Caenorhabditis elegans: one gene and its partner. The protein of the gene in region 1 purifies or fractionates together with the protein of each later gene. This does not show direct contact. Each region holds a gene or a part of one and is shown in the gene's direction. Other genes may lie near its edges.

What was found.
Region 2: the proteins of rnp-9 (region 1) and F48F5.6 fractionate together in Caenorhabditis elegans (co-fractionation; one large-scale study listed by BioGRID). This does not show direct contact.

The regions. Positions count from the first base shown.
Region 1 is NC_003284.9:10,165,023-10,172,623, forward strand, and holds rnp-9 (RRM domain-containing protein), read left to right. Parts: upstream 1-2,282; 5' UTR 2,283-2,431; intron 2,432-3,021; 5' UTR 3,022-3,030; coding exon 3,031-3,129; intron 3,130-3,180; coding exon 3,181-3,273; intron 3,274-3,417; coding exon 3,418-3,478; intron 3,479-3,956; coding exon 3,957-4,044; intron 4,045-4,371; coding exon 4,372-4,447; intron 4,448-4,525; coding exon 4,526-4,645; intron 4,646-4,691; coding exon 4,692-4,758; intron 4,759-5,913; coding exon 5,914-6,101; intron 6,102-6,155; coding exon 6,156-6,302; 3' UTR 6,303-6,671; downstream 6,672-7,601. Other genes in the region: C07A4.2 (SCP domain-containing protein), read left to right, coding at 7,324-7,416, 7,475-7,601.
Region 2 is NC_003283.11:20,447,101-20,452,344, reverse strand, and holds F48F5.6 (uncharacterized protein), read left to right. Parts: upstream 1-2,385; 5' UTR 2,386-2,398; coding exon 2,399-2,595; intron 2,596-3,848; coding exon 3,849-3,963; 3' UTR 3,964-4,070; downstream 4,071-5,244.

The DNA.
Region 1 (7,601 bases):
AACCAAATCTTCATTTTCTCATTCATTTTCTCATTACCTCATCCTTTTTGACTCTGCCCCCATTGCATTTTGTTTTCTTCATCGTTTCCTTTTCTGGGTTTTTTCCGGTTTGCTCGTAGAAGAAAATATTCTGAAGAGCTCTTTGACTTCTAATTTGTTGACCCCCGAAAAATTCATATTCAATTACCAATGGCCATTGAGTCTTTTGACTTTTACTTTTTAGTTATGTTTCCCTAATGCACATTTGTTTAATCATAAATTCATTCCAATACCAATAAAAAACTAGATCAAGTCCACGATCGAACGATCAAACTTAAAGTCTTAGGGAACAGTATATAGAAAATGGACATGCTCTTTTTCAATAAATTTAGAAAACAATTTATGAAAACTGACTAATCAAGAGCCATGCCTTCTCCCTTTTTTACACTTTTCCATAGTTTATATCAACACATTGCATGGTATACAGATTGATATTTGCGATTGAATAAAATAAACATTTGAAGGTGTAAACTGGTCAGTTTGCTCTTGCTCATTCTGCTATTTGGTTTTACCCTTTTTTTCAAATTGATAAGACTTCTTTAAATTAGAAGTTTAATTTTTTGAAAAGATTTGTTTCCAAATAATGCTTAATTAACGTATAAATGGAAACATACTTTTTTTTCAAAATTTAAGGATATAGTACACAAATACATACTGCTTCAGAATGTTCAACCATTTAAGGATACATTTGATTCAAGTAATTTTAATAATTAATTTTTTTGTTTGTATGTAATTTATACAAATCAGAAAATGTTGGTCGTTTACAGATTGAGTCATCTTATTGTTTTTAATCATTGATCTTCGTGACAAAAATGCCGCTCGTTTCCCAAAAATCTATTCCCTTTTTGGAATACGCCATCAAGGCGGATTTTCAATCTTGAAGTATCATTTCCTGAAGTTTTGATATAAGAATAAAATATTATAATTGTAAACTTTATTGATTACAAATCGATTTTGAAGTTGATATTCTTGTTTAACATTTTAATCCTGAAAACACATTAACAAGAAACGTGCTTCATTTGCGCTAAAGTTTTTATCTTTGAAAAAGTCAATGGACTAACATTTTTAGCTACCTGCTTTTAACTACTATTAAGCTTAAGCGATTCGAAAAATTACGGTCTTCACGTCTGTCACTGTGAAACTCTTTTTCTCCTATTTGTAATGTTCTTCACCTAATAAACTGGTGGTTGTATCGATTTGTTGTTCGTCTTCCTTTCCAATACGAATCTGATTGTTATTGTTCAAAAAAGGAACATTTTTATTTCCTCTCGGCTGACTCCGTGCACACTGTCTATTCCTCCCTATTCACAAGCATTAAAACATTCTTTGTTCGTGTCCACCGTTGTCTATTTTTTTTGCCTTCTGCTAAAAGCTCTTTCAGATGCATGAATCTATGAATTTAGGTGTCTCGATTTGGTGCGAGACCCTATTCTCACAGTTGAAGACATTTTCCGCCTTTTTTTATGGGGCCCATGCCTCTCTCAAATATCATTTGTTTATTCCATTTTGCGTATTACCGCTATTCAGCCACACGAACCCTCTAGTGCATTCGTTGCTCATTTTTCGAGTGAGACTAATGGACTACTACTAGATGAATAGGAAAATGAAAATGGAAGAATCCTGAGCTCTCTTACATGAAGAATGACAACGTATAAAAAAGTCAAAGGAAAGGAAAGGTGCTCAAGCTAGATGAGAAGAATAAAAGGAGGTCACAAGGGGTGGGCACTCGGTAAATCTCAAATCTGGTGGGAATGGATGGTAAAATCACAAGAATGAAACGACGTTCCGCTCTTGAGCCCATCGTGAGAAACAACACTGGATGGGTTAAATGTGGAGTCCGGTCTTAGCTCCCAAGTTTGTTGCACATTTTTTCCTTCCCTTCCTTTCCATCCTCTTATTCGCATTTTTCTTGTTTCCGACATAGTCTACACCTCAATATATTCTATTGTTTTCGACTTTCTTAATTAGTTCTCCACCCAATTCCCCTTGGGACAAGGCGGAGCACATCACTCTGCTACAAGAAGATGCTCGGCCATGAAAAATGAATATTGCACCTTCTTCCTCCTTCTACTTTTTTATTTTTTGACTCATTTTCCGGTTATATTCCTTGCCACATTTTTCCATTTATCGATAATCCATTATCACAGTTTAGTTACCTTGTTAGTTTCGCGAGGGATTTGAAAACAAATCTCTTGGCTCTGTTTTTGCTCTTATTTTTCAATGGGAATGCTAATCCGATTCACAGCGTTTTTCCAGGAACATTTGCATTCTTCTCACATTTAAACAAGTCCTGGAACACCACAGTGGTGTTAGTACACAATTCAAGCTGAAACGATCACAGGACCTCATCTCCGTACACGAAGCCGAATATGGTTCGGCTCAGCAGGCGAAGGTAGGTGACTTTTTAGAAATTGAAAGCAATTCGTTGGTACTAAAACCGAGGGCAGTACAAGAACATTAGCATGTGCTTGTAATAAGCCATGTAATTGTTATTCCCTTTTTTTGCTCATAATAGGTAATGCAAATTTGCAATAGATTTTTTAATTGCCACATTCCCGTCAGTAATTTTCCTGGCAAAGAAAAGGAACACAATCTGATCAATCATAAAAAAGAAAGGTGGTTTACAATTCTAAATAAATACAAATGGATAATGCATCTGGTTTCTGTAGAAATAGTGACGTGAACGTTGTTAAGTATGTTCAACAATTGATTTTCTCAAGTTGTCAGAAATATTTAAGTTGTTGCTTTTCCAAATGTTAAGCAGAGAAAAAACAACACTTTTAGTTAAAACAAGCTTCCCAAAACTAAGTTTTATTACATATTGTCTGAATTCACAGGTTAACTGATATGTTTCGAACGATTTTTTAGAAGCAATCACGTGCAATTTTGAGATTATTCTTTCTAGATTAGTCTTTCATATTGATTCTTTCTGAAAAATTGAACTTTGTCAAAACACAGAAATGTTTAAAACAGTCCTTGCAGAAAGCACTCATGTGCTTACCAACTGCGACTCCTCAGACATCCTTGCTTTACTCTCAACAAATGCCTATGAAAAACCTATACTCGCAGTTCCCGGCAGGTTTATTAGACGTAGGTTGATCGGATATTGTGCAACTCAATAATTCATATACCTGTGTTCAGACACAGTCGATTCAATCCTTGGACACATGTCCTCTGCTTCTCCAGACCGCCAGCCTTCCTTCTTTGTCACACATCGGTCTTCCACACTCTTTGGTTTGTTCATTTGCCCATTTCCGCTTATTTCGCACCCTTCTTTCCCCCTTTAGTTACCCTTTCCTCTCGCGCCAATCTTTTTGTCCGATCGAAATACATTCAACTAGTACGGATTCTCATTTGGCAAATGCAATTGTGTTGCAGGAATCAGCCGTGTTGCACTCAGCCTCGGAGCCGCCGATGGAGATGCGAATTGATACAAGCAGTGAGTGTAGATTTGCAGATTTGGATGAAAAGTGTGAAAAATGAATTTGTTTGAATCAAAGATCCTATCAATCTTTATTTTTCAATTACTTTTCTGGCGCCGTATTGGTGTCAGGTCATAAGTCAAAATAGCTGTGAAAAAATATGAGACCAAAAAAAGAAGATAAAGATAAGTCATTTGATTGACCTTATCAATCACACAGACGGATTCACTTTTTTTTTTCAAAACCGTTCTGGGTGTTATTGTATTCTTTGGTTGTTCTTATCACCCTTATCAGACAATTCGAGGTTGTTTAGCCTCATAGCTGCTAACCGTTTTTCTTGAAAGTCACACGTTTTTTATCGTTTTTTATGTTCCGTGGTCAAGAATTGGAAAATATGAAACTGACGACCAAGATGAGATGAAATGAAACCATGCGTGCCAGCACTAAAAAAGAAGAAGATTAGCAATGCAATATCATTTCTTTGCTTCTTTTCAGAGCATTTTCATGTTTTTGTCGGGGATTTGAGCAAGGACGTGAGCAATGAGCTTTTAAAATCAACGTTTACAAAATTCGGAGAAGTCAGGTAAATTTGAGGATAAAATACTTAATTTTGCTTGAACACGTTAACACTATACAAAAGAGTTCGAATCAAAAAACAAACAACACCCTCGTCATTTGGATTTAAAAAAACTTACATAACTTATTTTTTTGAGTAACTAGCAATTTTCCATAAAAATTTTTAAAAGAGTATATCGAAACCGTACTTGGCAAAAAAATATCATCATTCCCAAACCGAAATTTAATAAATTTTATGACAAAATATTGAGCAAAACTGAAAGCAATATTCTCCAACCATTGTTAGATTTTTTACCCAATCTTGACATTTATACCGCGGAAGTATTTTTTTCAGTGAAGCTAAAGTGATTCGAGATGTTCAGACTCAGAAATCAAAAGGATACGGATTTGTGTCATTTCCCAACAAACAAGTTAGTTTCTCTCTGTTTTTTTTACGAAGCCCATTGGTCCTATTTATTTTCGTCGAGAAAACTGAGCCTTGTTTTTAGAATGCAGAGAACGCGATAGCCGGAATGAACGGAAAATGGATTGGGAAACGAGCTGTGCGGACCAACTGGGCGGCACGAAAAAACAGCGAGGAGAATCGCGACAAGCTGACTTTTGAACAGGTGAGATGTTGTAACGTTAAATCTCAATAAAACATGACAGCTCCAGGTGTTCAACTCAACGAAAGCCGATAACACGTCAGTTTATGTTGGGAACATAAGTCAACAGACTACAGGTTAGTTATAGGTAGACAGTGTACTTCATATCAGTCATTAAAAAGGAAATAAATAGAGTTTAAGTTTTTGAAATAAAGAAAACAATCTTTAGAATTACATCTATAGTTTCTTCTGAAATTTAAAGAATTGGGAAATTTGCATTAATAGAGAGACCGTATACTGCTCCGGTAACCAATGGTGAAAGTTGTAGTAGCGCTAGTGGGTAAATTGCTAAAAACCAGTTCCATGGGGACTAAATGGCCAAATATTATGGCCAAAAAAATAGTAAAACTTTCCAAAAATTGTTTTGAAAATTTTTTATTGGCAGTTCGCGATCGCTTTAAGTCACTTTTATAGAAAACTACGCACTTTTATAGAAAACTACGCAATCAAACGAAAAAAGTAATTTTACAAATTAAAAAAAATACTTTTACTGAAATATTTCGTCATTGTGGTTCCATATGCATGTTTCAAAGCAATTTCCCCATTGGCTCTACTCCGCAGTGAAACATCGAAGTTTATAATTGTTATAAATTTTATTTGACAAATAATATTGGAAACTTAATTGAAACGTTTATTTTTTTTAGAATTTTTCCAAATCATACTAATATTTTTGATATAGGTTTTCCGTGAAATTTAATTTTTTAAAGTAAACTAGTGTTATTGAGCATTTGGATAATACAAACTGATTTTTAAGAAGTAAGTTGACAGGCGTTGTAATTTTAATTTTGCTAATTTCGCAATGCACATCTATGATACATCTTTGAACAAATTAATAGCAATAGTTTTAAAAAGTTAATGCTCTATCTGATACATTTTACTTGTACTGGTTAAAATGGTATTTTTGCAGGCATTTTTTAATGTTTACAATCAAATTAAGACACTGTAGTTGTTGACAAAACATAAAACCATTAAAAGATCATTTCAATTTCTCGAATGGCCTTATTCGGTAACTTTCCCATAGTTTATTAACAGAGTAAACCAGTTCCATGTCTTTATCTCATTAACAAACTTTCTAACGGATATGAGGCTATCATCATTTTTCCTCATCACATCCTACTGCTTGACACTTCCGCCTGGTAGACAGTGAGAACGTCCCATGAAATTTGATAAATGACTTTCTGCCTTTTATCCTATCACTGCCATATGTTATATCTATGTACATATTTTTATAGACGCTGATCTCCGCGATTTATTCTCAACATATGGTGATATAGCGGAAGTGCGTATTTTCAAAACCCAAAGGTACGCGTTCGTCAGATATGAGAAAAAAGAGTGTGCCACAAAAGCAATAATGGAGATGAATGGAAAGGAGATGGCTGGAAATCAAGTCAGATGTTCCTGGGGAAGAACTCAGGCAGTGGTAATAAATAATCAGTTATCAAATGCTTTGAAAATCACAGTATTTAATTTGCAGCCTAATCAAGCATTAAATCCTCTCCCAATTGATTTGTCATCCTTGATGATGCCTACAATGCTTCCAACTACAATCCCACTAATTCAAAATCCCTTCTTGAACTACGAGCCAGCCACTCTTTTGTACAGTTCCTTCCCACAATGGTGATTAATTTATTAAGACTCTTTAGGAAGAAAATGAAACGCAAAAGGAATAATGAGTCAGAACACGGTTACTTTTTCAAATTTCAAAATATTTAAATTTCCGCTTTTTTGTGAGTGATTCAATGTTTTTTTTTCTTTTTTCGAGTTTCCGGTGTTTCATTTTCCATCACAGTTTTCTTCCTACAAATAGAGGTCCGAGTACATTTTTTCTTGTTCATTTTTAACTTTTCTTCCCGTCTGATGTTTCCTGAGTGGTTCTTTTTACTTCTTTTCTGTCATTTTCCTGCTATTCATATTTTCACATTTTTCACAGAATGATAATCATTTTTGTTTGTGCAAAGGGATTTTAATAAATTATTACAATGGGATAATTGAATGAAAGTTCAAAAGCTGTGTATGTGTGGGAAGGATAGAGAAACATAGAGAGAACTAAAGCATTATGCTATTAATGTTTCAAATCATCATGACTAAGAATGTTCACGTAACAATTTATCTGCTTGACAACACTTTTAGATTATTTGCGAAATTTTTTTTTCAGAAAATTTCAATTCCAAATTACTAAGAAAAAGTTTCAAAACTATTGTTCATTTTACACGTGTCTGCACTTTCAAGATGTTTTCCGGTGATCTCATGATTTGAATAATGTGTCCACCTACACTCATTTTTGTTAGGGTCAGCAAAGTGGTATTCCAAAAACCAAAAACCTGATACTTTGCATTGTCGAATAAAATTGAAATTAAATTTTCAAAGTACAATGTCCTTCTAGGGGCCCACCCATTATTTCATGCGTCATAAGAGTCTGTATGTCTGCTACCAACTATCAGATATAAAGTGACTGTATCTTAACTATACAGCATACTGATTTCACAAATCACTGTGGTCTACCACTATACCATTCTGTAATCTTCTACTACTACTGCTGCCTCCTCCTGACAAGGTCATTGATATCCTACTTTGCCCGCCCACCCCCGGGAGACCCATCGATTCCGAAAAATCACTGCTAGTGTCCTATTCAAACTTGGCGCATGTCTATCATTCAGGCCCATATGTCACTGTCCTTATCACTCGCTCTTTTTTCACTTCTCTTTTTCCAAATACCGACCACTGATGCAAAAAGCGTAAGGGATAATAGAACTTAATGATATATCTTTACTTTCACTACGTTCATCTTTTCAGATCACCGTGTCAGTAAAGGAATACACAGGAATCAGAAGAAATGAAATTCGTGGAGTCGAAAATCAATTCTATTACTTCCAGTTTTGCACATGTCCATCAACATTTACTGAAAGAAACTTTAAAGTCA
Region 2 (5,244 bases), on another chromosome or scaffold:
GTTCGAGTCCGCACTGTGGTCGAAACTTTTTTTTCATTGTTTTGAAATGGTTAGTAAAGTAATTGCGAGATGCTGAGTTTAAATTCTAAAATTTTTTGAGCTTACAAGCAATTAAAAATCGTTTTTCATCACTTTTGAAAATCTTTATTCGAATGGCTCAGTGGGATTTTCCAAAACTTCCTATCACAAGACCGGGGTTCGAGTTTGCATCAAAACTTTTTATTTTCCCATAGTTTTCCACGTCTTTTGCAATGTGTAAAACCACTAAAAAAGTGATTAAAAATTCGAGGTGGGTGCCGACATCTCTCCTGATTTTCTCTCGATTTTCTCACCGAGCCGGAGCCAACTGTTGCCCAGTTTTTGATCTCTCAATCTGTCACACTATCTGCCGTGTGATACCTTTACTACAGAGATAGAGAAATAGGAAAAGTTGTGGGAAGAGGCTCGGAGCACAAGAAGAACCCGAGAATGTTTGCTCTTTTTGTGCTGATCATTTTTACCTCTTACCGCCGGCATACACACACACGCAGAGAGACGGCAAAAAGGTTTGCGGTAATCTGAGAATTTCAAAATGTTCTTCCCCATTCTTTTCTTCCACTGTTTTTTTTTCTAAATTTTAAGAGGTCAAGATCGAACTTTAAAGTCATTTTTGAACTTTGAAACTTGAAATTTTGAATTTAGACCCATCAATTACCCTATGCCCTATGAACGTAGCTTAAAAACCAAGAAAAAACTTTGACCACAGTGCGGACTTGAACCCCGGTCTTTTGATTGGTGGTTGTGGAAAATCCTACTGAGCCATTCGGGCAAAATTTTGAAAAATGCTGAATTTGTGTAATTTTGGGCCTTTGATTCTATTGGAAAAAACATTTCAAAAAAAGGAAATTTCAGCCTTTCAATCTCAATAACTTTTAGCTTTGAGTCGAAATTCAATATACTCATGCTAAATCAGGGGTGCGAATTCGGCAAACCGGCAATTTTCCGGTTTGCCGATTTGTCGGAAGTTTTCAATTCCGGCAAATTGCCAATTTGTCGTTTGCCGGATATCAGATTTGCGGGGAATGTTTAGAGGATTTTTTTTTCAAAAGACGAAAACACTTAAACCTGTGCCCTTTTTAATTTTTTCCCGATTATAATTAAAAATCTGAAATTCCCAAAAAAAATGTGCAAAACCACAATTTGCAGAAAATTTCCGGCATTCCCCGTTTTTCTGGCAAATTCGACAAATCGGCAATTCCAGCAGTTTGCCGATTTGCCGGAATCGTTTGCCGCCCACCCTTGCCCTAAATTACCCCTGCCCGCAGTATTTCAAGATTACTATGGAAAATGTGGTCAAATCTATTTTCTTGGGTTACTGTAGCTTGGTGTTTGCGTACCCAACACCGATTTTGACAGAATTTTGCACTAACGTTTGAAAATTGGGCCATCCGACTAATTTGACGATACAATTCAAATTTTTGAAATTTGAAGTATTTTCATCAAGTTTTGAGCTCTTTGAGCTTGTCAGATTTTCCAAATTACTTATTTTTATTGAAAAATATTGATTTTTTCCGATTTTATTTTTCTTTCAAGTGCGTTCCAAGTAAAATCCGGTACATTTTTAGTTGAACCTCATGGGAATTGCTTCTTGCAAACAACTTTGAATGACATTTTTGACTTGCACTCTTTTTTTGGTGAAATTTTTGGATGGGGAAGAAGAAAACGAAAAAAGAGCGAAGAACAAACTCATTTTTGGTGAAATATCTTATTAGGTTAAACTGGAGGAACTTTTCTTCGTTTTTTTGTGAAATTTTTTTTGAAATTTGGGGTTTTTCCGCTGTTTCAATTTTTCCCAGAGTTTTGAAATTTGAGTTTCAATTTTTTTTTGCATGCTCAAAATCTTTTTGGTAAAAATTTCATTTTAAAAAAATTGCAAAAAAACCTACAATTTCGAATTTTAACAAGATTCAGACTTAAGCTATTATCTATGTCTGAAATCCCAATTTCTAACAATTTTTGAGCTTTAAACCTTTAAAATTCAGATTCAGCACTTTTTATTACCTAACAAGCAACGAAAAAAAAATCGACCACCGTGTGGACTCGAACCCCGGTCTTCTGCTTTGTAGTTCTGGAAAATCCCACTGAGCCATTTGAGCGAAATTTCGAAAATGCCGGAAATTGTCACAGACATTATTCTTGGAATTTTTCGTGATTTTGTATGCTTTAACTTTTTTTGTAACTAATATTGAACGCTTTAATTTTAGTCTTTTTTTTTGTTGATAAAAATTGAAAAAAAATCGAAATTTTCACAATTTTTTTTGTATTTCTTTAAACTTACTATTAAATCCCAATTATTCTACTTTTTAAAATTTTCTTCACAAATTCGCCCACAAAACCTTTTTATAGTCCAGCACAAGCAATGTACCCAGAATATGGGCTGGACGTGGACGAATTCAACCTTGTGCTCATTATTTTCTCGGCCACAGTCGTATTTTTCGCCTTAATCGCCTTAATTTTGATGTACTGCACAATGAGTTGTGGTTGCTGCAGACGAAAGGAAAAACGAAGAAAATTGAGCAATATTCCACAGGTTATGGTTACTCAGCATAGAGACAAGTGAGTTTTTATTGCTAAAATTAGACCGAAAATTGAAAATTTATTTTGTGCAAAATCTCGTCAAATCTGATGTATGGCACTCAAATATCAAGCTACAGTAATCCAGAATACTAGATTTCACGAAATTAAAAAAAAGACCAAAACCTTAAAATTGGGGAATAGGGGTAATTTAGAGTGAGGATTTTGAATTTCGCCTCAATTTTAAAAATGATTAAGAGTGAAAAGCTGAAATTTCAATTTTCAGAAATATTTTACCCATAGAATTAAATATATTAATACCTAATATGACCGCAAATCGGCAAACCGGAAAATTGCCGGTTTGCCGAATTTGCACCCCTGATTTAGAATGAGTATATTGAATTTCAACTCAAAGTTAAAAGTTATTGAGATTGAAAGACTGAAAATTCCTTTTTTGGAAATATTTTTCCCATAGCATTAAAGACCCAAAATTACACAAATTCAGAATTTTTCAAAATTTCGCCCAAATGTCTCAGTAGGATTTTCCATTACCACCAATCAGAAGACCGGGGTTCGAGTCCGCACTGTGGTCATACTTTTTTTTTGGTGTTTAAGCTATGTTTATAGGGCAATCTATGGGCGCTGAATTCAAAATTTTCAGTTTTAAAAATATATTCAAAACTTTTGAGAGTTGAAAAGTATGACAACTTCAAAATATTTGGATTCTGATTTGAAATTTTGATTCCACGTGACAAACTGCACCTATTCCCAAAATTTCTGAATTTTAGTGCAAACCCACTTGAAATTTGGTGTCTGGTAGGGAAATACCAAACTACAGTAACCCGGACACAAAACTACAGTAGAGTATTTTTGAATTGAAATTTATAATTTTTTACTTCTGAAAACTATAAAAAATTCGAATACTCAAAATTTTAGTAGAAATTCGAACTCCGCGTGGCAAAATACATATAACTCTTAAGTTCCAAAAACTTTGTTCAAAACTCTAGGAAATCAAGTACAGTAGTAACCCGGGACACCTGATTTTACGACATTTTGCACTGAAAATTTTGAAAATTATAGTTAGGGGGGATTGTAGAAACTATGTAGCAACCTAGGATCCAAAATCACATTGATTTTTTTGTCAAAATTTATTATTTCAAACAAACTTTTTTTGAAATTTTATGGACAATATCGTTTGATGCCGAGTGTGGTCTAGGGATAATTTTAACGTAAATTCCGATTTCCAGCTCTAAATTTCAAATTTCAAACTTCCAGAATCCATTTTTTGTTTCCAGAACACCCCTATCAATTGACTGCCCAGATTTGGATTACATCGACGCTCGCAACACAAATCTTGTTTCATCAACAGTTCAAGTGGAGTCAGTTCATCAAACCCCAACTCTTTCATAATTTTTGATTTTTTTACTTTTTCCAATGCTTTTATGTGTTCAAAAAATATCATATTTGCTACATGTTTCTAGAAAAAAAATTTTGGATATAAATTTGCTTATTTTGCTAAAATCTCAGAGAATTCCAAAAAATTCAGCCATTTCCAATCAATTTCAAAAAAGTTCAGAAAGCATTTCAGAGCCATTTGAGAAAATTTCAAAAACGCAATTTCCAATTCATTTCAAAAAATTTCAGGGAATATTTGAAAATTATTCGATGATATTACAAAAATCTCAAAAGCATTGCGGTATGTTTTATAGAATCAAAAAACCTTTCAGGAAATTGTCAATGATTAGAGAAATGTTAATACTAATTTAGAGAAACTTGATGAAAGTTTAAGCAGGCCCAGGAATTTTCAATAATAATAGTCAAGTCAAGAAAAGGTGTAAAATTTCAGAAAATTTGAAAATATTTGTAGAATTCTTAACAAAATTTTTTCTAATTTTTGGGAAGAGTTCTGAATTTTTTAAAGGAATTTTTAATGGTGGAGTAGCGTCTGTGGGTTTTTTTGCCCTAAATGACAGAATACAGTCCCAATATACCGAATTTAAAAACATTTTAATTTTCTAAACTTTTTATGATTTTTTCAAAAAAAATCCCGCGCAAATCTGTGACGTCATTTTTGAAATTTTTGCGTTTAAAGGCCAAACTAATTGGTTTTTCTATATTTTTTTTCAAAAAATGAATCAAGATAGAATGAATGACAGAAATTGTTTAGGTGCTCGGATGGGTCACTCTCGCAGAAGAGGTAGGCGGAAAGGAGACAGTTATATGGTGTGCGTCTTTCCACACGTTCACCTCCTTGGCGTCACTCTCTTTGTAAACGCCGTCTTCTTATCGAGGACCATAATTTTTACAGCATCGCTATATTCACCTCTTCCTCTTGTGCAAGTCGTGTTGTGCTTGCCAGTTGGCATCCCCAGTTCATCTCCAGATGTTATCGCGTATGGTCAAAGAAATGGTATGTATTAAATATGTACCAAGTTTGCTTATGTAGCAACTATCTACCATCATTATGGCTTGAATTTCGTCATCTCCAATCTTTATGGCATTGTACATAGACTAAAACATTTTTCCAAATATTTCATAGTGTGTTCATCTGGTAAATTTCCTAGCCGGATGGGTGAGCCTTTGGGTTGAGGTGGAATTGAACTTGCGATTTTTTGGATGACAGTGCTACTACCACTCAGCCACCCGTGCCCGTGTAATAATTCTTACTTTTTTTCAGGCTCAAATTTTTAA